Lonchura striata: one gene and its partners. The protein of the gene in region 3 purifies or fractionates together with the protein of the main gene of each other region. This does not show direct contact. Links are inferred from orthologs where the notes say so. Each region holds a gene or a part of one and is shown on either strand. Other genes may lie near its edges.

What was found.
Region 1: the proteins of SKP1 (region 3) and FBXO21 purify together in Homo sapiens (affinity purification with mass spectrometry; 6 studies listed by BioGRID and IntAct, with this or other methods). This does not show direct contact. The link is inferred for Lonchura striata from reciprocal best matches to the Homo sapiens genes SKP1 and FBXO21.
Region 2: the proteins of SKP1 (region 3) and FBXL4 purify together in Homo sapiens (affinity purification with western blotting; 9 studies listed by BioGRID and IntAct, with this or other methods). This does not show direct contact. The link is inferred for Lonchura striata from reciprocal best matches to the Homo sapiens genes SKP1 and FBXL4.
Region 4: the proteins of SKP1 (region 3) and MTUS1 purify together in Homo sapiens (affinity purification with mass spectrometry; 3 studies listed by BioGRID and IntAct, with this or other methods). This does not show direct contact. The link is inferred for Lonchura striata from reciprocal best matches to the Homo sapiens genes SKP1 and MTUS1.

The regions. Positions count from the first base shown.
Region 1 is NC_134620.1:3,272,746-3,279,772, forward strand, and holds the start of FBXO21 (F-box only protein 21), read left to right. Parts: upstream 1-4,010; 5' UTR 4,011-4,022; coding exon 4,023-4,228; intron 4,229-6,498; coding exon 6,499-6,634; intron 6,635-7,027. UniProt on the Homo sapiens protein: Substrate-recognition component of the SCF (SKP1-CUL1-F-box protein)-type E3 ubiquitin ligase complex.
Region 2 is NC_134605.1:74,118,385-74,126,031, forward strand, and holds the start of FBXL4 (F-box/LRR-repeat protein 4), read left to right. Parts: upstream 1-4,643; 5' UTR 4,644-4,720; intron 4,721-5,389; exon of another isoform or gene 5,390-6,254; intron 6,255-7,647. UniProt on the Homo sapiens protein: Substrate-recognition component of the mitochondria-localized SCF-FBXL4 ubiquitin E3 ligase complex that plays a role in the restriction of mitophagy by controlling the degradation of BNIP3 and NIX mitophagy receptors.
Region 3 is NC_134617.1:9,574,443-9,581,907, forward strand, and holds the start of SKP1 (S-phase kinase-associated protein 1), read left to right. Parts: upstream 1-4,454; 5' UTR 4,455-4,547; intron 4,548-7,171; coding exon 7,172-7,268; intron 7,269-7,465. UniProt on the Homo sapiens protein: Essential component of the SCF (SKP1-CUL1-F-box protein) ubiquitin ligase complex, which mediates the ubiquitination of proteins involved in cell cycle progression, signal transduction and transcription.
Region 4 is NC_134606.1:29,696,478-29,704,350, forward strand, and holds the start of MTUS1 (microtubule-associated tumor suppressor 1), read right to left. Parts: upstream 3,016-7,873; 5' UTR 2,849-3,015; intron 2,690-2,848; exon of another isoform or gene 2,558-2,689; intron 1-2,557. UniProt on the Homo sapiens protein: Cooperates with AGTR2 to inhibit ERK2 activation and cell proliferation. May be required for AGTR2 cell surface expression. Together with PTPN6, induces UBE2V2 expression upon angiotensin-II stimulation.

The DNA of each region.
Region 1 (7,027 bases), on a different chromosome or scaffold from region 3:
CCTCTCTCAGACTGGCTCTGGCTCTGTTTGCAAGATACCCACGTTGTTCTGAAGCATGCACCTCTCTCTGTATAGTCCCAAACTTCTGATTTTATGGAATACTTATGCCTGTTTGCATTACGGTCCAAATAAAAAAGCGAACGAAAAGCTGGCAGTTCTTCTCTCCTCTCTGGGTTTTTAACACCACGAGGCTGCTCGAGGTCTCTGCTGCTGCCTTGGCCTGGCCCTGCTCTGCCACCTGGAATGCCAGGGGGCCATAAATAGCAGTGACAATCAGCAGCACCCGTTCACCTGCCAGACACGACGCTGCCTCGCCAGGCGCCTGAGTCACAGCACTCCCCGGTGAAAAACACCTTCCCTCTCCTGTGAACATGCAAAAAGTTTAATGCAGGACAATAGGAGACGAGGACCATAAACATTTAAAAAGTTTAATGCAGGACAATAGGAGACAAGGACCATAGAGCAAAGACCTTTTTTAGGGCTGGGTGCATCCTGAAACTCAGCCAAGAGCACCCCTGCAAGTTTGGAAACACCCTTTATTTACCATTTCTAGTGCATCAATGCCTGTTGCATATTCACAGACCCTTATGCACAGTAAACTTTTCCCCAAACCAGTTTACATGTTCCAAGAAGTGTTTAGCCTGGCTCCTCTTCAGTTCCACTTTTTTAGAGCATGTGGATTCCTTGGTTGTGCTTTTGGTCCTTTTATCCCCTCCAATTTTCGGGTCTTGGTGCACACTGCCTTCAGACAGCGAGTGCTGATAATTGGAATATCAATAGCAGTGTCCTCACCCTGTGTTCAGTGGATTTTGTCCCATCCCAGCAGCAATTTAACACAAGCACACTGATATCAGCTATTTCACTAAGCTTAATTAAACAACAGAAATCAAAACTGCATCTTTATAACAAAGTTACTTTAACACCACACATATAAAATCCATTTAAATATTTGCAAAAAGCCAATATTGTAATACATATCTATGGATCCCATCATTTATCCCGTGTCCTCGGGGGAAATGTCACAGGGCTGGCTGTGTGCAAACCAGGGTGAGTTTTGGAGCCTTGGGAACACAGCAAAAGCAGTGCAGGCAGCAGCTGAGAGGCCTGGGAATGAGGAAGAAATGAGGAAGAAATGAGGAAGAAATGAGGAAGAAATGAGGAAGAAATGAGAAAGAAAGAAATGAGAAAGAAAGAAATGAGGAAGCAGCCAGGGCAATGAGGCAGAAATACAGACATGGCTTTTCCCATGGAAAAATGATTTTCCCATGGAAGGGAAAAGGGGCTCATCAAAAAAGAGATTTTTTACATGTCCCACTGCCAGAGAGCAGGGTTAGGTGGGACAGGGGGAAGGAATTGTTCCCTGGGAGGGCGGGCAGGCCCTGGCACAGGATATTGATACACATTGATCCACTTTAGGTATTTCTGCCTATTGATGAGGTCCCCTCTGTGCACCCCATTTTTGGTACAGATACATTAGAACCTAATTTTGGAGAATTTTGGACTTTCCGTGCTGACGGGCACTGGCCCTAAAGAGAAAACCATACCTGACCTGAGGCCGTGGAGAAGGCTTCCAAAATGGAATGATAAAACGAAGATGATGGGTGTGTAGTCTGACTAGAAGTGTGTAATACCACACAGTAGAAAACTTAGTTTGGGGTTTTAGAATATAGCCATATACATACATTATATAAATATATTAAAAATTATATATATATATATAAAACAAGATAGAGGTTTTAAGGTGGAAGCTAATCTTTCTTTACTTTCTTCTCTACAAATTTCAGTAGTATTGTGTAATTAGGCAAAAAAGTCCACATTACAGAACACAGGTAATTAGTTATTCAGTTAAAAATAAAAATAATTTAAGTGTCATTTCTTAATTAGGCAGTTTATCCTTAAAAGACCTTACACACCTTGCTAAGTGTCCTTCTGGTACCTCCTTTGAGATATTTTTACACACTGACATGTCCCCTTTGGACACCCCCTTTTCCATATTGATACCCATTGATGAGGCCCCTTTTGAAATCTTCTTTCTGATATTGATACCCATTGACAGAGCCCCCCTGTGCACCCCATTTTTGATACTGATGCACATCGATGGGGTCCCTTTTTGGCCCCCGTTTCTGATATTGATCACATTGATCCAGTCCCTTTTTGGCCCCCCCTTTCCAATACTGAGCACATTGGTCACTTTTTGGCACCCCTTTCCAATATTGATTCACATCGATATATCAGCCCTTTCTGGCCACTGTTCCCGATATTGATCACACCCATGTGGTCCCTTTTTGGCACTCCATTTCCAATATTGATCACACTGATCCCTTTTCTGGCCCCCATTTCCAATATCGATCACATTGATCCCTTTTTGACACTCTGTTTCCAGTACTGATCACATTGATCCCTTTTTGGCCTCCATTTTCAATACTGATCATACCAATGTGGTCCTTTTTTGACACTCCATTTCCAGTATTGATCACACTGAGGCAGTCCCCTTTTAGCCCCGATTTCCAATACTGATTACACTGATCCCTTTTTGGCCCCCATTTCCAATACTGATCACATTGATGTGGTCTCTTTTTGACACGACATTTCCAATATTGATCACACTGATGTAGTCACTTTTTGGCACCCCCTTTCCAGTATTGATCACATTGATCCCTTTTTGGCCCCCATTTCCAATACTGATCACATTGATCCCTTTTTGACACTCTGTTTCCAAGATTGATCACATTGATCCCTTTTTGACACTCCATTTCCAATATTGATCACATTGATCCCTTTTTGACACTGTTTCCAAGATTGATCACATTGATCCGTTTTTAACACTCCATTTCCAATACTGATCACACTTATCCCTTTTTGACACTCCGTTTCCAATACTGATAACACTGATCCCTCTCAGGCCGCCGCTCCCGGGACCAGCAGCCCCTGGGCCCTTTTGGTTCCGCTCCCATCCCTCTCCCGCCGCTCCCTTTCCCTTTCCCTTTCCCTTTCCCTTTCCCTTTCCTTTCCTTTCGTTTCCTTTCCCTGTCCCTGTCCCTTTCCCTCTCCCTCTCCCTTTCCCTTTCCCTCTCCCTGTTCCTGTCCCTTTCCCTCTCCTTCTGCCTTTATCTGTCCCTTTCCCCATTCCCATTTCCCCATTCCCATTTCTCTCTCCCGGCTCTCCCTTTCCCTCTCCCTTTCCCCATTTCCCTCTCCCTTTCCCCATTCCCATTTCCCCATTCCTATTTCCCCATTCCCATTTCCCATTCCCCTTTCCCGGCTCTCCCTTTCCCTCTCCCTTTCCCCATTTCCCTCTCCCTCTGCCTTTCCCCATTCCCATTTCCCATTCCCCATTCCCCTTTCCCCATTCCCATTTCCCTTTCCCTTTCCCCATTCCCATTTCCCTCTTCCTTTCCCTCTCCCTCTCTCTGTCCCTGTCCCTGTCCCTTTCCCTTTCCCCACTTCCCCATTCCCATTTCCCCATTCCCATTTCCCCATTCCCCTTTCCCTCTCCCGGCTCTCCCTCTCCCTTTCCCCATTTCCCTCTCCCATTTCCCATTCCCATTTCCCATTCCCATTCCCATTCCCCATTCCCATTCCCCATTCCCATTCCCATTCCCATTTCCCATTCCCCATTCCCATTCCCATTCCCATTCCCATTTCCCAGTCCCCATTCCCATTCCCATTCCCCATTCCCATTCCCATTCCCATTCCCCATTCCCCATTCCCATTTCCCCATTCCCATTTCCCCATTCCCATTTCCCCATTCCCATTCCCATTCCCATTCCCATTTCCCATTCCCCGTTCCCATTCCCCGTTCCCATTTCCCATTCCCATTCCCATTCCCCATTCCCCATTCCCCATTCCCATTTCCCATTCCCATTCCCATTCCCATTCCCATTCCCATTCCCATTCCCATTCCCATTTCCCATTCCCATTCCCATTCCCATTCGCATTCCCATTCCCATTTCCCTCTCCCGCCGCTCCCGGGCCCCTCCCCGGAAGCGCCGGCGGCCCCGCAGCGCAGGTAAACAGCCAAGATGGCGGCGGAGGCCGCGGGCGCGCCGGGGCCCGGCAGCGGCGGCGGGACGGGCCTGACGGACCTGCCGGGCGAGCTGCTGGAGCTCATCCTGTGCTGCGACGTGCTGGGCGCCGCCGACATCGGCCGCGTGTCCTGCACCTGCCGCCGGCTGCGCGAGGCGTGCCAGCCCCGCGGCAAGGTGTGGCGGGAGCGCTTCCGCCTCAGGTGGGCAGCGCGGCCGGCGGGGATCGGGCACCGCGGGGCCGGGCGCGGTCGGGAGCGGGGCGGCGGCCGGGCCGGGCGAGCGCCGCCGGCACCACCCGGCCCCGGCCCGAGCGGGGCACCGAGCGCTGTGCCGGGGAGCGCGGCTTCAGAGGCGTCACCCGTGCCGGGGCACCGCCGCTGTGCCGGGCCTGTCCAGCCCGGCCTGCAACGCTGGCGGCTTCTCCGGGCGGGTGTCCCGCACCCCCCGAGTTCTCCCGCAGGTCTTGTAGGAGATTTCTGCTTGCCGCCCTTCCAAAGCCCCGGGGAGGGACCAGGCTGAGCCTGCTGCTCGCAGGGGCTCCCCCTTGGCCGCAGATCAGTTCTGTGGCCCTTTCCACGCCGGGGCCCGTGGATTCCCTGCGTTCCCAGGGCCAGCCCGGGCTCTGGCAGTGGAACCATACACGGGGGTTGTGCATTGGGCCTCCTTGACCCCTCCAGAACTTCCAAAACAACAGGCAAGACCCATCTCAGGAGTGATGCTGGGCAGCACAGAGGTGTTCATGCATGAGGGTTTGGGGAGAGCTGTTCTCACAGATTCCCAGACCCTTGGGGTGGGGTTTTGCTGCTGTTCTGTTTCCCCCAGGCTGCTGTGCATGTTTTGCCTGGGGGTGATGCTGGTCTCAGCAGTCCTGGGGGCAGCTCCCCTCATCCCCGGGGCTGTCCAGCCTCATCTCTTACCTGCCTTTGTCTGTGTTGGCACAGGAAAAGCAGCAGAATTGCTTTCTCTAGCTGCCAATTGTATCCTGAAATTCAGCTCAGCCCATGTGTGGGGATTGTTCCCTTTTCATAGGGGTAAAAAAGCTGCTGAGGAGTTACAGCTTCCCCACTCCAGCAAGCCATGGCTCTGGGACTGACTTTCAGCAGTTCAGTGGCTGCAATTCCTGCAAGTTCCAGCCTGGTTGGGATCCAGCAGCTGGAATGGGTGATTGACACACGTTGCTCTCCTCCTCGGTAATGGAATTTTTGGCAGGAGGCTTCACCCTGGCCTTGCCATCCTGGCTGGATTCCATTGTGAGCAATGGCACTTTCATCTTTCCAAAATTCCCACCGTCCTTCCAGCCCATGAAATTCTCCTTTCTCATCCCAAAATAAAGGACTGTGATGATTATTGTGAGGTGGCTGCAGTTCAGCAGTAGCTGAAAGGCCAGGAATTCATCAGGAGAGAGGTTGTTATGTAATGTGAGGTTATTTGACTTTATTTTGTGGAGACAAGTGCAGGGGAGTTTTATTATTAACCAGCAGTGAAATATCTTCCAGGTGTGGTTTGCACAGCAGTAATAATCATTATACAGGAGGAGTGATTTCAGTATTTGGTAAATTAAATATATATATATATATCCTGGAAAGAACCTAAGGAAGGTGGTTTGTATAAATCAGTACAAATGAATAGCATGTCAAAATGTGGAATAAATCCCCCCATAAATGAAAAGAAACCCCTTTCTCTCAGCTTCATTTCCAAAATATTTCCATCTGTACTGATTCTTGTTCAGGTTTCTCACACAAGTGATCCTGGTATCTTCACAGCAGCAGGAATTGCAGTGCTGGCACATATTTTATGGCACAAAGTGTGTTGTGGCACCACACACCCACTTGATTCAAAAAGGTGCTGCTAACAGCCCCCAAAGCATGCCCTAAAGTTGGATTTTCAGATGAATTTGAAATTCTGGGTAAGCTGTGAAGTGTGTGGAGTGTGAGTCTCAGTGAAGGAGGGTTTTTTACAAGAAAACTGTGAGGCGGTTTATTTTTTTCCTTCAGACAATTATTTCTTGTCTCTTGTCAAACTGCAGAAGCATTTAGCTGTCACAATTTGACTTCAGATTGTATTTTCCTCCCATAGATGTTGCCACCAGCAAGGGCAGTGGAGGGAGCTGTGTTTTTAATGAGCTCCCTGAGGTGGTAGGAAAACACAGGACAGAGAATTCCCCTTCTGTTCAGTGCCAGCTTGGCTTCCTTCTTTGTGGCAAACTCTTTTAATTATAAAACTGAAGCATTTAGGATGTTTAGGTATTGAAATCCTGGAGTGGGAGCCTCTGAAGGTTTCAGGAGAGCTTGCTTTTAAATAATCATTAATGCACAGCTGCAGTCGGGGAGCTGTGCTTTGATGTCTGAGGTAATTCAATACAGTTGAAAGCTGGGCAGTGTTTGGGCACTGTCTCAGCCCCTCAGGTCGTTCTGGAGGTTCTCAGGGAGGTGAAATATTAATGATGCTGTTGGTTTGTGTGTGTGTGCAGGTGGCCATCCCTGCTGAAGTACTACAGCCACAGTGACGGTGTCAGCTGGCTGGAGGAGTACAAGGCACGGCACAACGCGGGGCTGGAGGCACAGAGGATCGTGGCTTCCTTCTCCAAAAGGTTCTTCTCAGAACATGTAAGTCCTCCCCTCTTTGTGTGTGTGTGTGCAGCAGCCCAGCCACTTGTCTAATAGAATCCTTAATAAAGTCATTAATTGAATCATTAAGGTTGGAAAAGACCTCCATGATCAGAACTGAACCGTGTCCCTAAGCACCACATCTTCACATTTTCTGAGCCCTTCGAAGGACCTCTGAAAAGCCAGAGCTGACATTCCTGAATTCCCTCAGGAAATCAAATCTTGCCACTGTGCAAGGAGGCTCTGAGTGGCTGTAGGGCTGCTTGTCTGAGCTTTATCTGCTGGACAGTAACCAGAGCTCAGTCAGGCTGAGATTTCTCACAGCATCCTGGGATGAAATCTTGTGTACACAAAGAACATCATTATTATTCTTTCAGAAATGTTGTGGCTTGC
Region 2 (7,647 bases), on a different chromosome or scaffold from region 3:
ATTCAAATGCTGAATCTGACAATTGTATTGTCATACAATTTATAAATATATAAAATCATGTATACTATAGACTAGGGATTTTATGGGAGACAAAGCAAGACATCACCCTTGCTCAATGAATCTATAGCCTAAATTCTATGTCATCTACCAAGGACTAGTAACAAGCAGCAGAGACATAGACAAAACACAACAGTTGTTTAACAGCATATAAAATGTAAGCACATACTTCTACTGTGGCACATTCTTCTCTTTTATCTTTTGATAAAATACAAGAAAATAAAGATAAAATTAAGTAAATATGATCAATTACACAATACAGCATTTTCATAGAATATAGCAGAGAAAGAGAGAATGCTACATAAAATATTGTTACATGGGAAAAAAACCCACAGGGTATAAAAAATTTCCTTTTGATAAAAAGAGTTCTGCCTAACATAACAGCCAAAGCATTGTTAGGCCTGGCTCATGGGAACACCTACAAACTTAGTCTCATTGACTTAGTATACTTTCTCTTCCATTTCAAAGAATAGATGTAATTTCACATATCAAAAAGCAGTAATGCTGATCCAAAAGGCAGTGAAATGCTTTCCATGCTGGGTTAATATCCTGGGATGCAGAGGAAGCCAGAAAGAACAATTCACACCAGTGGCAATGGTGTTATGCATATGCACTCAGTGCTGCTTTGCAGTTAGCACTTGGATAAGTTTGTTGTATTAAAAATAACTCACTGATTAAAATGATTTCATTATTTCTAGGGTTCAGTTTAACACTTTAATATACAAAGCTTTGCAAAGTGATAACAAAATTCAGATCAGTTCCTGGATGGGAGCAGGACCTGGTGACTTACAAGTCAGCTAATTTCCTGCATTAATTGTTTACTTTCAAAATGTTTTCTCAAATGATACAGGCCTCCCTTGTTTGCAAACTTAACTAATGTGTTACCCTGTTTCCAGTGGGAGTTGTCTTCTAATTGTTTGCACAAGGCTCAGGTAAGCCCCACTGCTTCATCAGCAGATTCTTTGTTCTCACTATAAATTCCTCTGCTACATATGCTTTTCCAACAACCACTTTGCCTGGAAAAGTGGATCTGGACATCTTTTGTGAGTGCAGAATATAAATGAGCCTTTGACCTCTAACGACCAATAGCTGGTGTGTGGGATCTTTACCTCCTGTGGAAAGTTTCCCTCTGGATATTTTAATAGGTTATTACAATGGTGCTTTGGGATGAGTTGAAGTACCTGACTGTGGACTCAAGGCCTAGCCACTTGTCTTGGGAGAAAAAGTAATCGAAATGTCACCAGTCATATCACTCCTGTATGTGCCTTTGGTATAGAAATAAACATAACTTTTTATCCATGCCACTTACATGGCCTTTCCATGCTCTATGTCTATTTTTGAAATAGCAATATTTCTACTCACTTCAGTTAAGACTTCCCCTCATGAGCAAGACATACCACTGCTTATAATAATGAGAAAAACTTGAAGGAGAAGCAGGATGCTGTTAAGACATGAATTTGGTGATTACAAAGTATGATTAGCACAGAAAAGCCAAGTCTCATTCTTATGTTACAAACAGAAGGTTTCCTATACTCCTCTACCTGTGTATTTCCTTTCAACACTGGACTATTTCTGGGACAAATTCTATGCCTAGTTTTACTGCTGATGTGGATATAGAAATATGTATAAAGTGCTCATGTGCCATAGCTCACTGGAAATTATCTGTCAGCTCCAGATATGGATAACTGTTGAATAAAAACAGATCATCAATTGATTTTTGCAAAGGCTGTGGAATGACAATCTGACAGTAATTTGGAGCACATCTTGAACACACATAGCATGACTTTGAGAGAGCAGCCTAGAAAAAAAGGACACTGTCACCCAATGTCCTCTATCTCCTTCAATAAACACTAGTCTTTCTGCAGTTTTAAAATGCTATATGCCATTGGGCAGCCTCTGTGAATAATGATAGAATTGGTTTTGTAATTTCTCTAGTTTGTTAAGGATGTGTTCACACATAGCACATTCTATTTTCTTTCTGAAAGCTTAAGGATGGTCTATGCAAAGTGAAGAGAGATGTATCTCCAAACAGTGAAAACTTCTGTGCTCCTTAGGCACCTGTCATAGGAATGAAGGGGATATGTTGGATCACCTGGAGGTATCCATGTCTCCCTGTGATGTATAGAATAAACCCAGCAGACTAGACCAAACACAGAACTTCGACACTGCTAAATTTAAAAGCAATCTGTTCCAGCCTCTGTGAACTGGCAGATGAGTGGACTGAGAGAAAAACTTTTCATATCCATCTGCCTTTTGCACTGATACAGAATTCAACCTCCATTAAACAAAGGGTAGGAATGTTTGGCCAAACATAGACCTCTGTACAGATGTCTCTTGCTTGCTTTCTCTTTATAGCTGATAACAGACAGAAATAGAAACTTTTGCATTCCCCTTCTTAGGTGATTGAATGCTAATAGAAAGGGTTAGATGATTTGTTAAACTAACCAATTAAATGGGTTAGATATATTGTGCCTTCCAAGTATTCCCTCTCTTCACTAAGTTTGAAAAGGGAGGACAGCACGAGAGATACAAAACCTAAAATGAAAGCCAGAACATAAACAAAATAGTCTACAAAAATTCATTTTCATGCCTAACCTATTTTCTGACTCATCAAACTTATTCACAGTCTTGTTTCCAATTTTTTTTTTTTTTGTATTAAAAATTCATTCAAATTCTGAGTTGTACACTCCCTGGGAATGTGGTTGTTGAAAGCACCTTTATAAATACTCTTATAGCTTGCATCCAATTGTAGGATTGAGGTGAGGATGAATGATGTCAAAAGGCACCCTACATTGCTATCACTGAAACCTGAAGAGTCTAGCTTCCTCTTCCATGGAAGAAGTGCCTTAAAGTTTGGGGCTTAAACTGTTATTTTAAAACAGTACAGTGACATCTGAGGTACATAAAACATTTGTGTATATATGTACATTTCTGCATGTGTGCACAGAGGCGCATGCAGGTGTATGAATCACTTATAAGCTGCTCATACTGGCAAGTCTCATGTGGAAGTCAGAGTTGTGTGGTGGCTTGTCTGCCACTGCAGTTACCAACCAAAATTTATTCTATACTAAACTTATAGATTTTTGTATTTGAAATGTATTATAAATGCATAGAATTTATATTAAAGCATTATACAAAAAGCAACTTACATAGCAATTATTTGCACATTTTCTGGATTTTTAGAATTATATTTGACCAGCTAGTACAAGTCAGCAACTCTATTTTCTACTGCAACTGAACAATCCCAGGTACCATCTAACATGGAGCCTTGCTGGAGACCTGAGGAGACCAGATGGAGTAACAGCAATTTTAGTGATTATGGCAGGAGCTCTGACTGGAAGGGGTGGTTGGGAGAGAAAGCACTCATGCACCAAATTAAATTATATGACACTTCCTTTGCAATACACAGGTAGCACCCCAAGAAGCCTACAGTGTGCTGGAGTTAAGATCCATTAACAACAGGGCTGCCCTTATGACATGCTAGGAACTCAAAACATGACATTGAAAACATAACCCAACTGGCCTGGGGCTAGGGCAAGACACACTGCCTGGTAAAAAACTCTGTGAGAAACCAGGGCTCATCATGGCACCCCACCTTACCATGGCCTTCACATCTGCAGAGGTAACAGGACAAAAAGCAGAGTGGGCCTGAGTCACAAACCACAACACTGCGAAAATTCAATACCTTGGAGGGAAGGAATGCCCTCCAGAGGGACCCTGACACACTTGAGAGGTGGGCTGGTGTGAACCTCATGAAGTTCTACACAGCAAAGTGTGAGGTCCTGCACCCAGATTGTGGCAATCCTGGGCACACCTACATGTTGGGCGGAGAAGTGATTTGAGAGCCACACTGTGGAGAAAGACTTAGGTGCGATGGCTGATGAAAAAACTCAACACGAGCCAGCAGTGTGCACTTACAGTCCAGAAAAATCAGTGGAGTCCTGGGCTGCATCAAAAGCAGTGTGGCCAGCAGGGTTAGGGAGGTGATTTCCCCCCTCTGCTCTGCTGAGATCCCACCTGTAGTACTGTGTATAGTTATGGTGTGCCCAGCGTAAGGAGGACTGAAGGTTTTGAAGCAAGTCCAGACTAGAGCATGCCCCCTAACAATGCTGAGCAAATTGGGGCTGTTCAGCCTGGAGAACAGATGGTTTCATGGAGACCTCATGGCAACCTTCCCGTATCTGAAGGGGCCGACAGGGAAGCTGGAGTGACTCTGCATCTGTCCTTGTTGTGACATGACACGGAGTAATGGGTACAAACCGAAAGAGGCAGAATTTATGTTAGACATCAGGAAGAAATTCTTAACTGTGAGGACAGTGAGACACTGGAACAGGTTGCCCAGAGAAGCTGTGGATGCCCCATCCCTGAATTGTTCAATGCCAGGCTGGATGGAGCTTTGGCCTACTGCTGGGGGTCCGTACCCACGGCAGTAGGGCTGGGGCTTGATTCCTAACCCTCGGAACCCCAGCACTCTCCTACCCCACCGCGAACCCGCGGGACCCCGCGGGCCCGCCCCGCGCCGGGGCTCGGGCAGGCGCAGCCGGCGGCCCCGCCCCCGCCGCGTCCCCCGTTCCCGCCCCCGCCGCCCTCCGCGCGGCGCTTCCGGCGGCGCCCGGCGCGGCGGCGGCTCCGGCGGCCCGGGCGGCTCCGCCCTCCGGACGGGGTAGGGTGGCGGCGGCGGCGCTGCCGGGGGGCGCGGGGGGGCCGCGGGGCCGGGCCTGCAGCAGCCCCGGTGCGGGGCCGGCCCTGCGCGGCGGGAGCGGGCGGCCGCGGGCGTGCGCTCCCCGTCCGCCCACCCAGGGCACGCTGGCCGGGCCGGGCCGGGCCGGGCCTGGCAGGGCCGGTGCCGCGGTCGGGGAGGGGACGCGGAAGGCAGCGGCGGCACCGGGCTGCCCCGCTCGCGTCTGCCCGCCGCTGTGCCTAGGCCTCGGCGGGAGCTGCGTCCCGGGGAAGGGAACTGCCCCCCGGGGAAAGGAACTGCCCCCCGGGGAAAGGAACTGCCCCCCGGGGAAGGGAACTGCTCCCCGGGGAAAGGAACTGCTCCCCGGGGAAAGGAGCTGCCCCCCGGGGAAGGGAACTGCCCCCCGGGGAAAGGAACTGCTCCCCGGGGAAAGGAGCTGCCCCCCGGGGAAGGGAACTGTTCCCCGGGGAAGGGAACTGCCCCCCGGGGATGGGAATTGCCCCCCGGGGATGGGAACTGCCCCCCGTGGAAAGGAACTGCCCCCCGGGGATGGGAACTGCCCCCCGGGGAAGGGAACTGCCCCCCGGGGAAGGGAACTGCCCCCCGGGGAAGGGAACTGCTCCCCGGGGATGGGAACTGCCCCCCGGGGAAGGGAGCTGCTCCCCGGGGAAGGAAATTGCTCTCCGGGGAAGGGAACTGCTCCCCGGGGATGGGAACTGCTCCCCGGGGAAGGGAGCTGCGTCCTGGAGAGGGGAACTGCTCCCCGGGGAAAGGAACTGCCCCTGCCGGTGGAGAGCGCGGTTGCCGAAGGAGTGGGAAGGGGTAGGGGTGGGATGGAGCAGGGAGGAGGGGAGGAACAGTGCTGGGACCAGACAAAGCGGGCAGGGCTGGGCACGGGTTGTGCTCCTCTCCCCTGCGGGTCCTCCGCCGCTGCTCGGTCACTGCGGTGTTCCGCACGTACACGGTTTCACCCAGTTGCCCGATCACAGCACTACAGAAAGTAGGCGCCGAAGTTGCGATACTATTTTATTTTTTAGGTGTGTACTTTAGGGTGCTTCGCTTCTTGTGGATTGTTATTTGCTACCAGTGCAGGCTGAAAAATGGACATCGATTGGATGTGAATGGACATGATAAGGACAAGGGAACACAGTCTTAAGCTGTGAAAGGAGAGATTTAGGTTTGCCATGAGGAAGAATTTCTTCACAGGAGGGGTGACTAGACACTGGAATGGGTTGCCCAGGGAGGTGGTGGAGTTACTGTCCTTGGAGGTGTTTAAGTAAACATGGCACTTAGTGCCGTGGTCTAGGTGACATGGTGCTTTTAGGTCATAAGTTGAACTTGGTGATCTCAGAGGCCTTTTCCAACCCAATTGATTCAGTAATTCTGTGACAGTGGCAGATACCAACTACAGCCGTGCAGTGAGGAAGCAGCTGACCAGCAAGTAAACGCTATACAGAGTATACCTGCATGGAGGAGCAGTGTGATATCTCAAGAGACAAGTGAAAAGACAAATAAGGCAAATACCACAAATTCCTTTTAAAAAGTACTGTGGGAAATTTTTAATTTTTTAAAAAATTACATTAAGAGAAGAGTTTCACCACAGGTGGAAGGGTAGTTGGTCAGAATGAAGTGGTAGAATGCTGGTAACTTTAGGCTGTTAATAGAAAGGGCTGTCTGATAATTTACTCATGTTGAGGAGCAGTTTCTGTTACCTGGGGAAGCCATCTCCATAAGAGACAGGGTGGCCACTTTGAATGTGGAATAGGTACCAAAGAACTTTTGTCTCCATTGTATCTCAGTGCTAAACCGCATGATGAGTCTGGTCCTAGCAGGAATGCAGTCAGTGAAATGATCTGAAGTTCTTGGGTTTTGCATATTTTGGTACTTGTGAAGGCAACACAAGATAAAACTGCCATATATTCCAATTTTTTTCAAACAGTAAAATTATTAGTTAGAAGTGTGTGTGAAATGGCTTTAGTGCCAGAATATATTATGGGAAGAAACACAGCAAATGGGGCCTGAGTTTAAAGTATACTGTAATAGCTTATTAATTTTTAATTAATAATAGCTTCTAGTTTCAACAAGTTGAGTCTAGATGTTGGTACAATCTAGGTAATTAACAGCAAGAGATGCTAACCTGTGGTAAAAGTACTCTGTTTTAGACTAATGTAAGGATCCAGTATTCCCTCTGTGCATTAGTGTACAAAGATAATTAAGAGATTTCCCATTTACTGTCTCTTATCTAAGCGACACATATTAAATTGCATTAATCTATCTTCAGAGATCATACAAGCCCTTGCTTTTGTCATTTATACATTCTTTGTAATTTGTCAATGTTGCTGTTTCTTCTATAGTCAAATGAAGGAAAACTGCTCACTGCTCCCAAATGTGAGATTAGCAAAGCTGGTGTAAACAGGAATTATTACTTCATTATTATACAGAATTATTACTTATGGCTTTAAAAATCAAATCTTGTGTATGCATGACTAGCATGTACAACATTTGCTTCTCTTGAAATAGTACAAACTCTTCCCTATCATGTGCTTTTCCAGGGATGGCTCAGGGATAAAATGTACCATTTTTTTTTTTTTCCTAAATCTAGTATCTGTTACGTTTTCTCAGACATCTTCATTTCACAGCCCTTTGAAATCTCAAGTATTTTTCTGTGTACTTCCCACCTTTTCTCAGCAGTCTGGTTGGTGAATAGTCCTGTTTCTGCTTGTATGGGATAACATTATGGGTATTGAGGAGTTGCATTTGCCAAACAAACTAACCAAAATGAATAGGTAGAATCATAGAAGATCCTGAGTTGGAAGGGACCCATCAGGATCATTGAGTCCAACTTCTGGCCCTGCACAGGACATTCCAACTCTGTGCCTGAGAGCATTGTCCAAATCCTTCTTCAGCAT
Region 3 (7,465 bases):
AGTATGGGGAGGCCCTGGCACAGGCTGTCCAGAGAAGCTGTGGCTGCCCCATCCCTAGAAGTGCTCAAGGCCAGGTTGGATGGGACCTTGAGCAAGCTGGTCTAGTCCACAGCAGAGGGTTGGAACTGGATGAGCTTTAATGTCCCTGATAACCTGAATCATTCTAGGATTCTCTGATTCTCTGACCTGGACTCTCACCCAAGTGCTGGGCTCTGCCACCCACCATTTTGCATTGCTGGGGTACAACTTCTATGAAGAGTGACACCTTCTAAAGGATGCTGCTTCAATATAAATTTTTCTGAAGTGGAAATGCAATAATTAGCTTTTTATATAATTAGCTTTTTCAGACTTGTACTGAGAACAAGAATTTTCCTCTTCTGCTGCTGCATTGTTCCAAGACTGCTTTAAAAAACAGTGGCCTTTGAGCTTGCCAGTGTCCTTCTACCATCTCTCTCACATGAATAATCCTGATGTTTTCTGGTTTTACACTGAACCAGTCAGTTCAATTATTTTCAAACTTGATGTGGCTGCTTGTTTAAAAAAATGCTCATCTTTTGTATTCCTGAAAAAAGATGATTTTTTGCAGCAAGTCTCATTCTCGCCTACATGTAAATTAGATTCTTTTTCAGATTCCATTGTCATACCAGGCTCTCTCCCTGGCTTGCTCTCCTTGGTTCCATGAATTCAGGATGAGTTCTGTGGATTTTTCCAACTTGTTGATGAAGCAAAGCTGAGCTCTTTCAAGCCTGATTGTCATTAGACTTTTACAATGCCACATCACATTTGTATTGAAAAATAATCAGTGTTACCTCCAGTCTCTAAATCACCACCAGCAGCTAAAAAAAATGCTGTTTCTCTGTCAAAGTGGAATGTGAGGCTGTGGAGCAGATGCAGGGCTGTGTCCAGGAGGCTGCTCCCTCACATTCAGCATGTTAAACTCTTCCCCTGTGGCTGCATAGCTGCTCAACTGGCTGCACCTGCAGCCCAGGGATGCTGTGAATATGTAGGTCAGGGCTCTTCTGGATCTGATTAAGCATTAAATCAAGCTCAAATCTTTTCAGGTATTTGCTTTGGTGTTAAGCTGTTCCCTTCCTCCTTCATGTTCTCAGTGGTCAAAGGCCCTTAATTGTAATTTACCCGTGGCTGACACATGGTGTGATTCCCTGCACTCAGGAGAGGAATGCTCAGCTTTAGGATTATTTGCAGTGCAATCATTACCTGTGTGTGGAACAATTGAAATTGGGCCACTCCTTTTTTTAAGCAATCTTGTTTTTGCCTCGCAGCTTTAGCCAGGGATAGGGGTTTTGTGCCATTAATACTGCCTGACTCACAGCACTTGGGCTATTGCCCCTGCAGCAGCTGCTTTTTCACAACTGATAACGGGAAGCATCTGGAGTGGCTGGGGAGGTTTGTTGTGTGATATGTAGGGCACAGTGGGAGGTGCTGTCGTGTGATTATAGCCTATCTGTGACAGCCATCTGTCTCTTTTTGGGGTGTGGGGTGTTTTTGCTGTTTTAACTTTCCCAAACTTCTAATTCAACAGTAGGATTCAAAATTCACTGAGGATGGAATTTTTTCCTTTGGAAAACTGTAGAGAACTGTACCAAGTATAATCAGCAGTATAATTTTGAATTAAATTTATGCACAACTATAATTAAGCATGGAATTTAGCTTTCTGCCTGTTTCTAGAGTCCATTATATTTTTCTTGTGTTGAGCACAAACCCCATCCCCCCTTTGCTGAGCCTGATTTGTAGTCTGTGAGCTTGTGCTTGCTGGTCATGAGCCAAATCAGAAACCTTGGTCTTCGGCAACATTGGGAAAGGGGCTTTAGAATTTGTAGACAGGTTTTCCACTGGCCACCTTCTGTTATTGTCTGATTCTCTAAACCAAAAAGTTTTAGTATAAATAAAAAATAATAATTTAAGGAAAATAAAGGCAATGGTTTTTAGTGAACTGAATGTAGTTCTCAGCACAGGAGTATGAGATGGTGTGATTGAGGAAGAAAGAGGTAAATGCAATGCTGGTACAATCAAAAAATCATGTTAGATGTAGTCTGGAGGTTTCACACTCTATATATGAGATACATATAAATTAAAAATGAAAATAAGGTGCCATTCAATGGTGAACAAAGAGCTTATGTGGTTATCAATACCAGGATCTCTGGGGAACTTCTGTTAGTGTCCAAGTCTGCTGCTGAGCATCACCTGCCCCCTGGCTGCTCCCTCAGCTGTTGGGAAGAGTTCAGGGAAGCACACAGCAATCCAGCCTGGAAGGGACCACAGGGGTGACCTGGATCCACCTACAAAGTCAGATCAGAGCTGCATTCAGTCTGCCCTAACAAGCTGCTCAGCATCCTAAAGCCCATGGAACAAGCTTCCCAAGGCAGGCAGTCGCCTCCAACGGTTCTCGGGAATTTGTACAGAGGCCTGTTTGTGTGATATGCTCTGATGGAGAGCAGCCAGGCTACCAGCTGAGCTTTAGGCTGTTCTTCCTAGCTGAGAATCTGTTGAATCTTCCATCTCTTCAGAGAACAGCCCCAATGAACAAGGTGTTCAATACTGAATACTTATCTAATTGCAGTCTCACTGCCCAGAGAAGCTGTGGCTGCCCCACTCCTGGAAGTGTCCAAGGCCAGGTTGGACAGGGCCCTGAGCAACCTGATCTAGTGGAAGGGGACCAGATGAGCTGTAAGGTCTCTTCCAACCATTAACATTCTATGATTCTACTCTCAGATGGAAGGGAAGGGAGCAAAGGAGGGAAGGAGTAAGGAATACTTGACAGTCATTGGCTTGGCTACTGAACTGAGCAAAACAAGATTCTCAACTAAGAAATTCTGAATCCTGGGAAAATTCTTCATGTTAGAAGATATTTTCCAGTGGGTCTGGCTGTCATTTGTTCCCAAATGTGTGGGGTGCACAGCCTGGGATTCTCTTGGACCCCAGGAGATGGGAAACCTGTGACTTAACACAGAAACATTAAGGCTGGAAAACATCTCCAAGATTACCAAGTCCAACCCTTGACTGATCAGCACCTTGTCAACCAGAGCAGAGCACTCATTGTTTCATTAAGTTGTTTCTTGCACACCTCCACGGATGGTGACTCCACCACCATGCCAGTGTTTGACAACCCTTTCAGGGAAGAAATCCTTGCTGATGTCCAACCTGAACCTCCCCTGGTGCTGCCTGAGGCTATGAATGATGCTGCACTCTGCAGTGTGGTGCTCTTGCAGGTATCAGTGTGCTTACAGGCATCCTGGCTGTGTCTGCATTGGAGCAGTGTGAAAACATGCTTTTTGGTTCCTAATACATTTTTGTTTAGGATTGGAAGTAAAGCAAATTGTCGGAATCCTGCGTTGTCACTGTGTAAATGCCATGCTTACTTGAAACCCATTTTGCCATGGAGAGCTGAGGCAAAACTGGGCTCAGCAGCAGAGCATGTGTGACACTTCACAGCAACGTGAGGGCTCATACCCTGCCCTTCCTCACAATGCAAAACCCTTCACATACCTTTTTTTTCCCTGAAAACCCCGTACCTGTCGCTTTCTAGCACACACGGGTGACCTTTCCGCTGTCACCCGTGCTGGGGGCAGTGCTCCGGTGGGGCGGTGCTGTGTTTGGGTGCCCAGCTCGGCCCGGGGGCTCTTTGCACAGCTGGTGTCCAGGGATGCTTTAGAGAGCTGAGCTAGAGCTGCTGAAATTCCTGGCGGAACCTAGGGCAGATGTTCTGTGAGCACCACTCACAGCTGGATCCATTTCTGGCTCCATGAAAGCTCCCGCACGTATTTCCACTGGAGGAAGGCTGTCTGATGTTGGAACAATTTTAAACTAGCCGGTTGTTCAATGTTGTTTTTCGGCTAAAATGTCTTCCGCCTCTGGAGGAACCCCTGATGGCATTTCACCGTGTTTACCTGCGGGAAGCCTCACAGATATTCGCTTACCCCTGAGCCTCGGCCTTTCTCCCCGTGAAGCAAAACCAGCACGGTGGGCGTCCTGGGGCGAGCCCGCGTTACCCTGAGTGACCGATTTCACCACACGAGCTGCCAGCCCCGGACACCGGCGCCCTCCGCCGCCACGGGAGCCCCGCGCGGCCCTCAGGGGGGAACGGGGCCTCACAACGGCCGGGCCGGGCCCGTTCCCCGCTCCCCGGGCCGGGCCGGGCCCGTTCCCCCTCACGGGGCCGGGCCGGGCCCGCGGCGCCGCCTCAGCCCGCGGGAAGGGCCCTGGCCTCCGTCTATTGTGCGGCTTCTGGCGCGGCTCCATCGCTGCCTGAAGAACTCTCCGGCAGCCGCTCCTTCCCCCCGAGCTCGACTCGGCTCCGCTCCCGCTCCGCACCCCGCGGAAGCGGCGCGAGTCCCGGTTTTTGCCGTTTGGGAGCCGCGCTGGGGTGTTCCGCTCAGGCGTTCGCGGCGGGCAGCCCGGGCGTTGCGAGGCGGCGGGAGGCGGGTCCTTGCCCCTCCCCCGCTCGGTATAAGAGCGCCGCCGCAGTCGGGCGCGAGCGCCGCCGCCGCCTCCTCACGGTCCGTGCGCGGAGCCGCCGCCGCCTCACGGTGAGGCCCGAGCGGGGCGGGGGGCGCGGGCCGTGTGGGCGTGGAGGGCGCGGCCTGCCGCGGACGGAGGGTCGGGAGGCCGCAGGGCGATCGCGGGGGCCGGGCCGGGCGGAAAGGTGAGCGCTCCCGGCCGTGCGGGGATGCAGCTCCCGGGGCTCGCTGGGCCCGAGCCCGCCCGGGCCGTGCGGGAGTGCAGCTCCCGCGGGGGCGGCGTGGGGAGCGGTGCCCGCGGCGGTGGCGAGTGCAGCCTCCGAGCAGCCCGAGCCTCCCCCGCGGCTCCCGGGCTGTTGTGCCTCCGCCTCCCGCTGCCCGCCGTGACCCGGAGCGGCCGCGCCTCGGGTGCGCGTTCGTTACCTGCTCCTGCTCCTGGATACCGGCGCTGGCGCGGGGGAGGCAGCGGGATCCATCCGGAATGGCGCTGAGAGGCGCAGCTGTAGGTGGCTGAGCTCGGCGTTTCAGGCTTAGACGAGTAAATTACCGCTGTAATTCAGGTTTGGCTTGAGCTCGGCTGGCAGCCTGTTGTGCTGTTGTCAAATAAAGCTTTTAGAACTGGTTTGCTTAGTCACCCAGTAGTGCTGCTGCCCAGGGACTGTCACCTGCCCGAGCTGTACTGCAGCTTGCTAAAAATTAGACTTGTTTTTTTTTCCTGTTTTCTAGGAAACTGAGTTCAGTGGTGTAAAAAAAAAAAAAAGTCTATGAAATTTTGATGTGTTGTCGATGATAAGGCAGCAGTTTAGCTTTGTTCTACCTGTTTCAGACCCTCAGCAATAACTGAAGGTCTTGTTAGAAGCAGATTTGGGTGATAGGAGGGAAGTATCCTTGCTGGGGCTCCCCCGGCTAAGGCAGCATCCCTGCCTGGCTCTGCTGTGCAGCATTATGTAAGCCCAGGCACAGGGAGGCTGCCTATGGAGCTGGGTTTGTTCTGGAGTACTCCCAGGCAGTCACTGCAAGAACAGATGCATTAAATTTAAAATGTGTGCCTACAGCACTTTTCCTGAACATCATTCAAAGTGCTAACGCAGAACTGTGCTGTAGTCCAGATCCTGCTTTTGTGCATGTGTGTACAAATATAGATATATATATATAAATATATACACATACACACACACTTGTACCTTTGGAACAGTCATGACTGTGTTCCTCCAGAACACCCATCTTAATTAGAAGTAGCACTGTCATATAGGGTTACATTGCTGTGTAAACATTAACTAGCTGCTCATTGCCAAATGGAAATTAAAGCAATGAGGTCTCGGGGCTGGTGTGAGCTGCTTAATAACACGCGTTGGCCGAGCCTCTCCTGGCCTGGGATTGCACAGGACTGTCAGGCTCAGCCTCACTACACTGATGAGTTTTCAGAAAGAGGTAATGCAAAGTTGCTTCTAGTGGTCCTGTTAATTAATTGTTGATAGCTCAAGTGCTACTGTGAGGAACTAGTGTGTGAGGCTTGTAAGTTTGGTGGGGGAAGAACTTACACGATTTAATTGAAAGTGGAATTCTTTGTTCCCAGAGCTGTTCACAGTAGTTGCAGGCTGTACAAACATGCTTCAGTGATCTTGAAGCAGGTAACTCGAGGACCAAAAAATAAAGGAAGCTGTTGCAATGGTTTGCTGCTTACAAATATTTTGAGTGGTAAAGGAACTTACAACACATCCTACTAGCTGATTGAGAGCAAATTTATAAAATTTATGTGGCCAGACAGTTGTGTTTATAGTACATTTGGTTGGCTCAAGTGCACTGATGCTCCCCACAGTCTGCACGTGTGGTTTCAGACAGAAGCTGTCATCTCCTGGCTGCTGTGTCATGTGCTTTACTTCTGGGTTTCAGTTGTTACATATCTGGAATGGTGCCTTTTTTTTTTTTTGCAGAATTTGATGGTGTTTTTGCTAAGAACATCTTTCAAGCCTGCTGCCTCTTTATTGTAGGTCTTACTACAGTTTGAGGAACTTTGTTAAAATGCATGGTTATCTCAGGTGCTAACAAAGTACTGATCTTGCTTCCTGCTTTGCAAGGGCAGTTGTGAGTGCTGAAGACCTTCCTTGTAGGAGATTATTACTTTCTAATCTCTTCAGAAAACCAAACTGGAGGAAAGCCTTTGATCCTGAGTAACCTGGTCTGTTTAACTCTGTTTGGAGCAAGGGGGGCTGGACTAGACTCCTTCCAACCTCAATGTTATGAGTCTGTTCCAGAGGCTATAATTTGAAAACTACTTTTGAGATCTGATGTCGTTTGAGCAGTTGAAGTGAGTAGTAGTAGTTGTTTGGATTTGAAGGCCAGTGGTGGTTTGGAAGTGTTGAAATTTTTTTCAAGAGAAAGATAGCTGTAGTGTTATATTAGAAATAAAAGCACTGTTGACTAATCTGTGTATTTTATGCTTTCAAGTTAAGAATAAAAAGCTCATGAATTAGTGTTAGACTTCAATCAATCCTTGTTTCTTGGGCATGAGGATTAATGATTTTAGGGCTGTTGATTAAAGGCATGAATAATCCGAGTGCACCTGAAGTGGCATTGGGCTTCCTGCTGTTGTGAAGAAAATTTCAGCAGTAAAGGTGCTGAACATCTTTGAGTCAGCTGAACCTGTAACATCTGCTGAGAATTGTGTGGAAATAACTGTCCTTCTCTTGTAGATGCCGTCAATTAAACTGCAGAGTTCAGATGGAGAAATCTTTGAAGTTGATGTGGAAATTGCAAAACAGTCTGTGACTATAAAGACTATGCTGGAAGGTAAGAGTGTAAGACCCTGAGGAAGCCTCTTGGACAGGAATTGAGACAAGCTGGTACTGTGCTGAAAAAGGATTCTCAGGTCTATGGAGCAGCTTTCTCCTGCCTGAACAGCTGTAACTCCTGCTGTTGTAGCTGAAACTGTGTAGGGTGGATGTGCTCTTGTAAAAAGCCCTGGTTAAGAGCACTTACAGGGAGGT
Region 4 (7,873 bases), on a different chromosome or scaffold from region 3:
ATTAAAGGGATAAAGGCAACTAAAAATGATTGATTTTCCCAATTAAACAGTAAATCAGTATACTTCACAAAACTGCATGAATAGAACAAAATGACTAGAACAGAAACAGGGACTTAGGGCAGACAATCACCTCAGCAGGTTCTGCTGAATCATAAATCCCACACATGGCACTTCTGTCCACATAATCTGATCTCTCATCATCAAGCAATCAAAATACAGCAGTGGTACATTTTCACATCTCATATGACTATGTAATATGCCACATTTTTATACAAAACTTATACATTTATACATGTACATAGCACATATATATGTATAAAAACACAAGTGTGTTTTTATTTCTGTAGATTGAAAAATAAGTCCCACACTATCAGCTAGCTAATCTGCGTTCCACAATTCCTATTACAAATCTTAGCAATTATTTTGCTAGATTGTTGACACCATTTAGATACCTGACATGTTACATCTCAGCTCAATAGTAAACCCTAAAGATTAAAAAAAAAAAAGAAAAAAAAGCCTCCTTAGAGTTGACATTTTTGTACAAGACTCTTGGCTCTGCTTAAAAAAGAAACCCACTTCTAACATATGTGGTTGCAGACAATGTTTGAAACCACAAAATGCAAGAATTAGAAACAGAAGTTCCAAATGCATTTAGAGTGTCATTACTCTGTCAAATCTTGACTTTTACAAGGCCTTGACACTGCACTTCTGCAGCTAGTCAATTCCCAGACAGTGATTTCAGCTGTAAGTAAAATGTGCGAGAATAAGGAACAATTATGCATCCAGCAGTAAAGATGGATTTACTGAATCACAAGTGCTCAAAAATATCATGAAACGCAATTAAGGGGTTAGCTACTAGAAATTTAACATTTGTTCAAATATTTTCAACTTATGGAATCATTACATACAGAATCATGCTTACTCTGGATGGAAAATCATATTAGGTAAAGTTTTAGCATCAGATTTACCAGATTATGATCACTGTTTCAGCCACAGCTCTGAAGAGAGTGATCTCAGTTAGAAGTCAAAGCTTTACAATACTTTAGAAGTGACTAAATGAATTTTTAGCACAGCCTTGTTACCACACGTACAATTACTCCATAAAAACGGTGCTCAAATGCAATCTATTGCTAACCCACGATAATTAGCACTAGGAGAACTAAATTAACCCCAGTGGCTGGTGTGCAGTCACGCGAGCCAGCCGCTACAATGCTGCTCTGCAGTTCCACCAGAGCACGATGCATGTCACGAGGAATCAACAATTTTTAATACCAATCTTATTTAGCAATCCAGAGAGGGAGAACCATCATATTAATTATTACCATCCACTCTGAAAATTTTAGTGATATAAGCAATGAAGGTTAAAACTTTTCCCAAAATTAAAGCTTCACTATACAAGAAGCTTGTAGCTCTCCTGACTTTTGAGAGTTGCTACTGTGTACCAAATTAAATCAGCAAAAGAAGAAAGAAATTTTTTACCCATTAATATATATTCAACAGCACAGGTATCATCCAATTTGTCAGACTTAGTGTTAACAATATTTTACATTATAGCTACTCTAAGGCCTTACAATGCATAGGCATTGACCAGTAATGACCAGTAGTGATTTCTTTCACCTAAATGAAAGTCATGCATCTGCCAGTGTGAGACTTCATCTTCCAGATAATCCCTCCGTGTGGGGTTTAACCAGCTAAACTGTCCATCATATCACAAACATAAAGCAAACAAACCATAAAACCTAAGTACAGGCTTAGACCCCATAGCAGACCATCACCTACATAACCTAAGCAGAAGGGGATACTCAGTTCTTTCCTTGGATCATGCAGCACAAAAACAGAGAGGTAGAATGTTTTCATGAGGTTGTTTTCTGGGCATTTCTTTGCTTTATTTTAAATAACTGCACTCTCTCACCTTGGAACAATGGTATCAAGTTAAAGCTCAATGTCCTTTTCAAACTCTGGCTCTCCTCTCCTTGCCAACCTTGCATGGTATAAATAGCAGCAAGCAGAGGAGTGAGCATTAAAAATACTCCTTTAAAAAGCTCAGGAGTGTTCATGCTTGTAGTGCAGGACCAAAGCACTCCGGGTGCACAAGAGCAAGCTGTAGCACATTTCACATATATCAAACACGGTGTCAGTGTTCACCTAGATAGAAAAAAAAAGGGGGAAAAAAAAAAAAAAAAGCTGCGACAGCCATATACAATTTCCGTATCTCTCAATATCGAAAACTCCAAACACACGACTCGGGCCCGCCGAAGCTGCGACCCCCCAGCGCAGGGAAAGCCCCGGGGCGGGCCCCGCTGCAGCCGCACCTGCGCTGCGCCCCGAGGCCGCGGCTCCGCCTCACCTCCCCGGCCCGCGGAAACGCGCGGGCGGCATCGCCACAGAGAACGGGAGGAAAGTAAGCGGGGCAGGACGGAGCGGCGGAGTCACCTCGGCGCCCGGGCAGCCCCAGCCGCGCTCCGCTCCCGTGCCCCGTTATCCGGCCACCCTACGAAGCCCTCGCTGAGAGAGCGAGGAGAGAAAGAAAAGGAGGGGAAGAAAGGGGAGCACTCACACTTCTGTAAAAGACAGCAAGTCAGCACCCACAGCAGTACGCAAACACTACCCCTCACTTGTAGATCGGCGCCGCTGCAGAGAACTGCGGCGCGGCCGCTCTCGCCGCCGGCACCGCCCCCCCTCCGCCCCCGCGGCGGCCCCGGCGGCGCCGCGCCCGCCCCAGCCCGCCCGCTGCCGGCCAGCGCCGCGGGCTCGGCGCGCGCGGCCGTCCCGCCCCGGGCCGGCCCTGCAGCGCCCCGCGCCCGCCCCGCGCCGTCCGGCGCACCTGCCCCGCAGCCGGCCCCCTCACCTGGCGCTGGCCCGGCCGGCCCTGGGCGATGCGTTTGTCGGCGTGGGGGGCCGGGCCGGGCGGGGAGAGAGGCGCAGGTAGCCGAGCGGGGGAACTGGGCCAGCGCTAAAAATACCGCACGGGATGGAGGAGGATCCAGCCGGCGGGGCGGCCGCTCATCCTGAAGGCTGCCGGCGGGACCGGGGGCGCGGGTCTCGGCGGATGGCAGTGACCTTGCTCCAGCCGGGCAAAGTGCGCTGTTTCAAACTCACAATCGACAGCGACAAAACTGCCTGCTCTCGTTTCGGTTCCTAAACCGCGCGTGCCCTCCCGGCCGGCGCGCGGGGTGAGGAGCCGCGGGGTGCCCCGGCGCTGGATGGAGAGCCGGGCTAAATCACCCGCCCGGGGCAGCGCCTGGGCCGGCCGGGCCGCATTCCCCCGGCAGGGCCCTGCCCCGCCGTGCCCGGCTGCCTCCCTGCCGCCCCGGGCGCTGCCGCGGCCGCGCCGCTCGCTCGCCTGCCCAACGCCTGCCGGCCCGAATGAGCCAGCGTGGAAAAGAAGTTTGTTCCTGCGAAGTTCCTCCAGCCTCTTGCGATGCCCAGGGAGGGAGTCGTGGTGGAGTCGTCGCTCGTGGAGATGCTTAAGAGGCGTCTGGATCTCGTGCCCGGTGATGGGTTTACTGGTTGCAATGGCAGCGCTGGGTTGACAGTTCGACTGGATGATCTTAAAAGTCTTTTCCAACCTCGAGGATTCTGTGAAGTCTGCTAAGAGCTACCTTAGCAAAACAGTATGTAGCAAAACTAAGGCAACGTCTAGGTTATAAGAAGTCTCAGGAGGTTCAGGCATAATTTTCTTGATGGCCTAAGCTGTGCAATGAGTCTTGAGCTAAGTTTGTGTTTATGCAGAGTGGTTTATAAACACAAACTAGATAGAAAGTGTGTGAGTTTAGTGACTGGACACAACGCTAGACTCTGTCGTAACTCTAGCATTCTGTCCACAGTATTATTTGCTGCCACTTAGAGCTTGACATCTTGGATTTCAGTAGTAGTAGAGCCAGCAGTTCCCTCCAGGATCTGTCCACTTGGATTTCAGTGGAGAAAGTTCATATTGTGGTAAGTCTCCCTGACCCAGTGGAGTAGCTGCTGAGGATTTGGCGCTAAAGTTGTGTCTTCACAGTGGTGGCACTACCCATAACATGAGGCAGAGAGGAAAAATCTTTTACTCATCATTGCAAAGCCCTAGTAAGTAAATTATGCTCATGTGATTTCTGGGGAAGAGAAGCTTCGAGATGCCAGCAAGGTTGGAGACGCTTACCTGACATGTCTGGTGCATGAGGGCACAGCTGCCCTCAGGCTCCCTGTATGCCAACGTAAGAGTCTGTATCCAGGACAGATTTGGTGACTCCACAGGAAATGCTTTCTTGACATCAAGCTAGTTCCCTGACCTTCCTCTCTGCCCTCTCTACTATATACAGTTGCTGGCTATTTATATATGTGATGAATATGATTCAGAATTAAACATGCCAAGAAGACACTGCTTCATTCAACCTAATAATTAGAAAAGGATTGCTTTGTTTCATCACCACATGAAAGAGAACTATTTATTGTGGTTGGCTTAGTAGTAACAAACAAAATATTTTATTCCCATCCATGAGAAGCAATCTTGTGTGTCTTTATGGGCTTCATCCAAAGCGTGCTGGAGTCAGTATTATTATGTATGGGTTTTCAGTTAGCACCTGACTGAAAATCTAGTAAGCTGGATCAGAGCAAGAGTGCTTTCGGGTTACAATGCTGAGCATTGTACAAAACTTGAGCGCCCCAGGATAGTCTGTGTGGTGCTCCAGACCTTGGGAAGAAAACACTTCAGTAGCACAGCTGAAGCACCCTGGCATGAATCTGCTGCTGTGGCTGAACGTGTGGAGCAAGGGACATCGTGAGATTTTTGTGGTGTCATTAGGTCACTGCTCATGTGAAACTGAGTGGCAGATAGTTTACATAGCCAGCCTTTTAGCAGAGTTCACAGGCATGGCTCCAACTGTATATATCAAGGCTAATCTCAATTACAACTTAAAAATGCCTCTGTTTTTGTCACCGTGGCGATGGTCTGGGAAGTATCGACTGATCGACTGATCGCTACAGCTGAAAGCTTGTGGTGTTGATCTTTATCCTGACAAAGATCACAGTTCATTTAGCGTTTGCTGTAACCATTCCACTCTGATGGCTCTTTACTTTTTCCTGGTTTTGTTGTTTGTCTAGGCTTTTCATACAGCAGTAATCAAGGAGAAAAATCAAATTGAAAACCAGATACTTAGATTTTTTTTAAGAGATAATGACTTTTGCTTCTCTGCTTTTTTTTTTTTTTTTTTTCCTCCTTACCTCTTCTGGTCCATGCATTTTTAAGTTTTATAAATATAGGAGGAATACTGTAGATTATGTCACTGAATGTTGAAATTGAAGGGAAGGAAATGAGGAAAAAAAGAGGGAAGAAAGATGAAATCATTTAAATAAGGAAGATAAATGAAAGACAAAGGATGATGAGGGTGAAAGTAGCCTGGACCCCAAAGTAGAATAAACATGGGAAAGAATTTGAGACACCAAAGCAAGAGGTGAATATCACAATAGATGGGAAAGGGAATAAATGAGATAACAGATCTTTTTTATATTCTTTCCCTGTTTTGTGTCAGTGGAAGTAGTCAGGAGCAGGCTCCACAAATGGCTCTGAAAGATACTTTCAGATGCATTCATACTCCAAGATAAATGTATGTCTGTCTTTAATAATAGATATGATTGCAGCAGGTATTAATAATTTGCAACAGTACCAGGTAACTTGAGTATCAATAACAGTAAAAATGCAGCAGCACAGGATGGCCCAGTCTGTGTCCTGCTGATATCCAGGGTAATGGATGGTTTTGAATAGGTTATTAGGGAACTCAGATTTTGTTCCTGACTCTTAATGGTTGCTTGTGTACTTTAATATTATATGGTAATTGCCTAGAAAAGCAGTGTTGTAATAGGGATTGAAATTTAAATTTCCCTACTCCCAGCTAGGGACCTTAATTGTTGCATTGCAAAGTGATGCCTTGCTTCCCTGGACCAATGAATGTGGATTAGTTTGTTCAGAATAACAGACTATCAGCAGGCACAATGAAAGACATTCCTTCCATCTAGCCTCTGGCCTGGTCATGAAGGGAATTTCCTGGGAATTGACACATAGGACTTCACTGTTGTCCTCATGACCCTGCAGGTCTTACATCTGCCTGTTTAGCTGAGAGAACCTTTTCTTCCTCCTGTCATGTTTCTGAAAAATGCCAAAATCTAAGTGCAGACCCCACTGAAGCCTAATACAAGAATTAAATGCTTTAGATGCCAAGAAGGCTGTAGTTGGAATGTCAGTAATTGACAACTCGAGTGCTTCTCCCACTACTTATTGGAGATTCTGGTCCAAGGTAGTGCTGCTTCTGGTGTGGTGGGGAATGGGGGGCACATGGCCCAGAGCTCTGGCTCCTGGGTAGCAAACTGGTACCAGAACTTGGGGGCTGCAGCTCTTAACACTCAAAATAGCTTGGCTGTGGTGGATTTATAGTCTGTGATAAGTCTTATTCTGTCTGTATTTGGGAAAACACCATGTTGTGGATTTGTTTATGTTACATAGCAGTGTGTTCATGGCTGATTCTCTGGCATCAGGAGGCTGACTTCTGTCAGATGAAATTCCTGCAGGCTGAAGGTTGAAGCGCTATATTGTGGTGTTTTTTTTGGTTTGCTTTGGGTTTGTTTTTTGTTTTTGTTTGGGTTTTTTGGGGATTTTTGTGGGGTTTCTTATTGGATTTTTTGGGGTTTTTTTTTTGTTTTATTGAGGTGGAGAGAAGGCCAGTAATGACTGTTAATAACTGCATTAAAATTCTTTGGCAAGTGATGAGTACTGTTCCCCTTTGCTTATGCAGACTACATTTAAAGTACTGCATTAATACAAAAGAAAACTTTCTGCTGTCCACTGCTAATTCTGGCTTAAGAAAAGTATATCACCACAGTTGAGAGTCTTCATTATCTTCTGAGGATCAATTACTAATGAATATTCTTTAATTTTGTTTTTACCACAAACTTCACATTCATATGACTTATTTGAATTACACTGTATACTTACTGCTTTGATAACATATTGGTGAGGTATGCCAGAGAAAATAATTTAGTGGTGCTGCTGAAAATGTTGAAAATGTATTTGTATAGTAGTTTGGGTTTGATCTTATAATTTTGCTGACAATTTTCCCTGTAATAGCTAAAAGTAACATAATTCTAAGAATCCTTGGTATTTTTCCTCCACAGTTTAGAAAACAATCAGACAGACTGTATATATCCTCACAAAAAGTACTAGTGAACAGATCACAGATCTCTCGGCTAAATTAGTCATGTGTCATTTTTCTTCCATATGCTTTCCAGTAAAGCAAGGTTCAGACCTACTTACAGGCACCTCTGGTGAAGAACTAGAAAATATTCTGAATGATTTAACAATTAGACTAATTGTAGTTTACTTGATTCCCTAATGTAATAAACTCTTTCCTTCACAGGCCATTATATGTGGGATAAACCTCTACATTGTATGTGTTATTCATTATTTATTCCTTCCGGGATATTTAAGAATCAGCTCATGGTTTCTAGCAAAATTCACAAAAACAAATATATTCAATAATTTTAGGAAGCATTTTCTTATGGCAAATAATATAATTTTCATCTTCTGTGCAGTTAAAATACCTCTTTACTGCTTTATTCCTATTAATATGTCAAGAAATCAATATAGTTTTTTTTATTTCTGATATTAGTGATTGAAAATATGTGTGATATTCTTCTAGAGGATTTTAATTACTTTTTTTGTAGTTAGATAAAAAATGGGCTAATTTCTCCCCCCTTCTTTAGTGTCATTTCAATGAGTTTGAAATGAGTATAGCCATGTGCAGAATGACAACTGTATTGTTCTGTGCCAATTGTTAGACCTTGGCATTTTCCACATACACTGTTTCCTAAGCAAACACACTTTTACAGAAGCAGATTTATT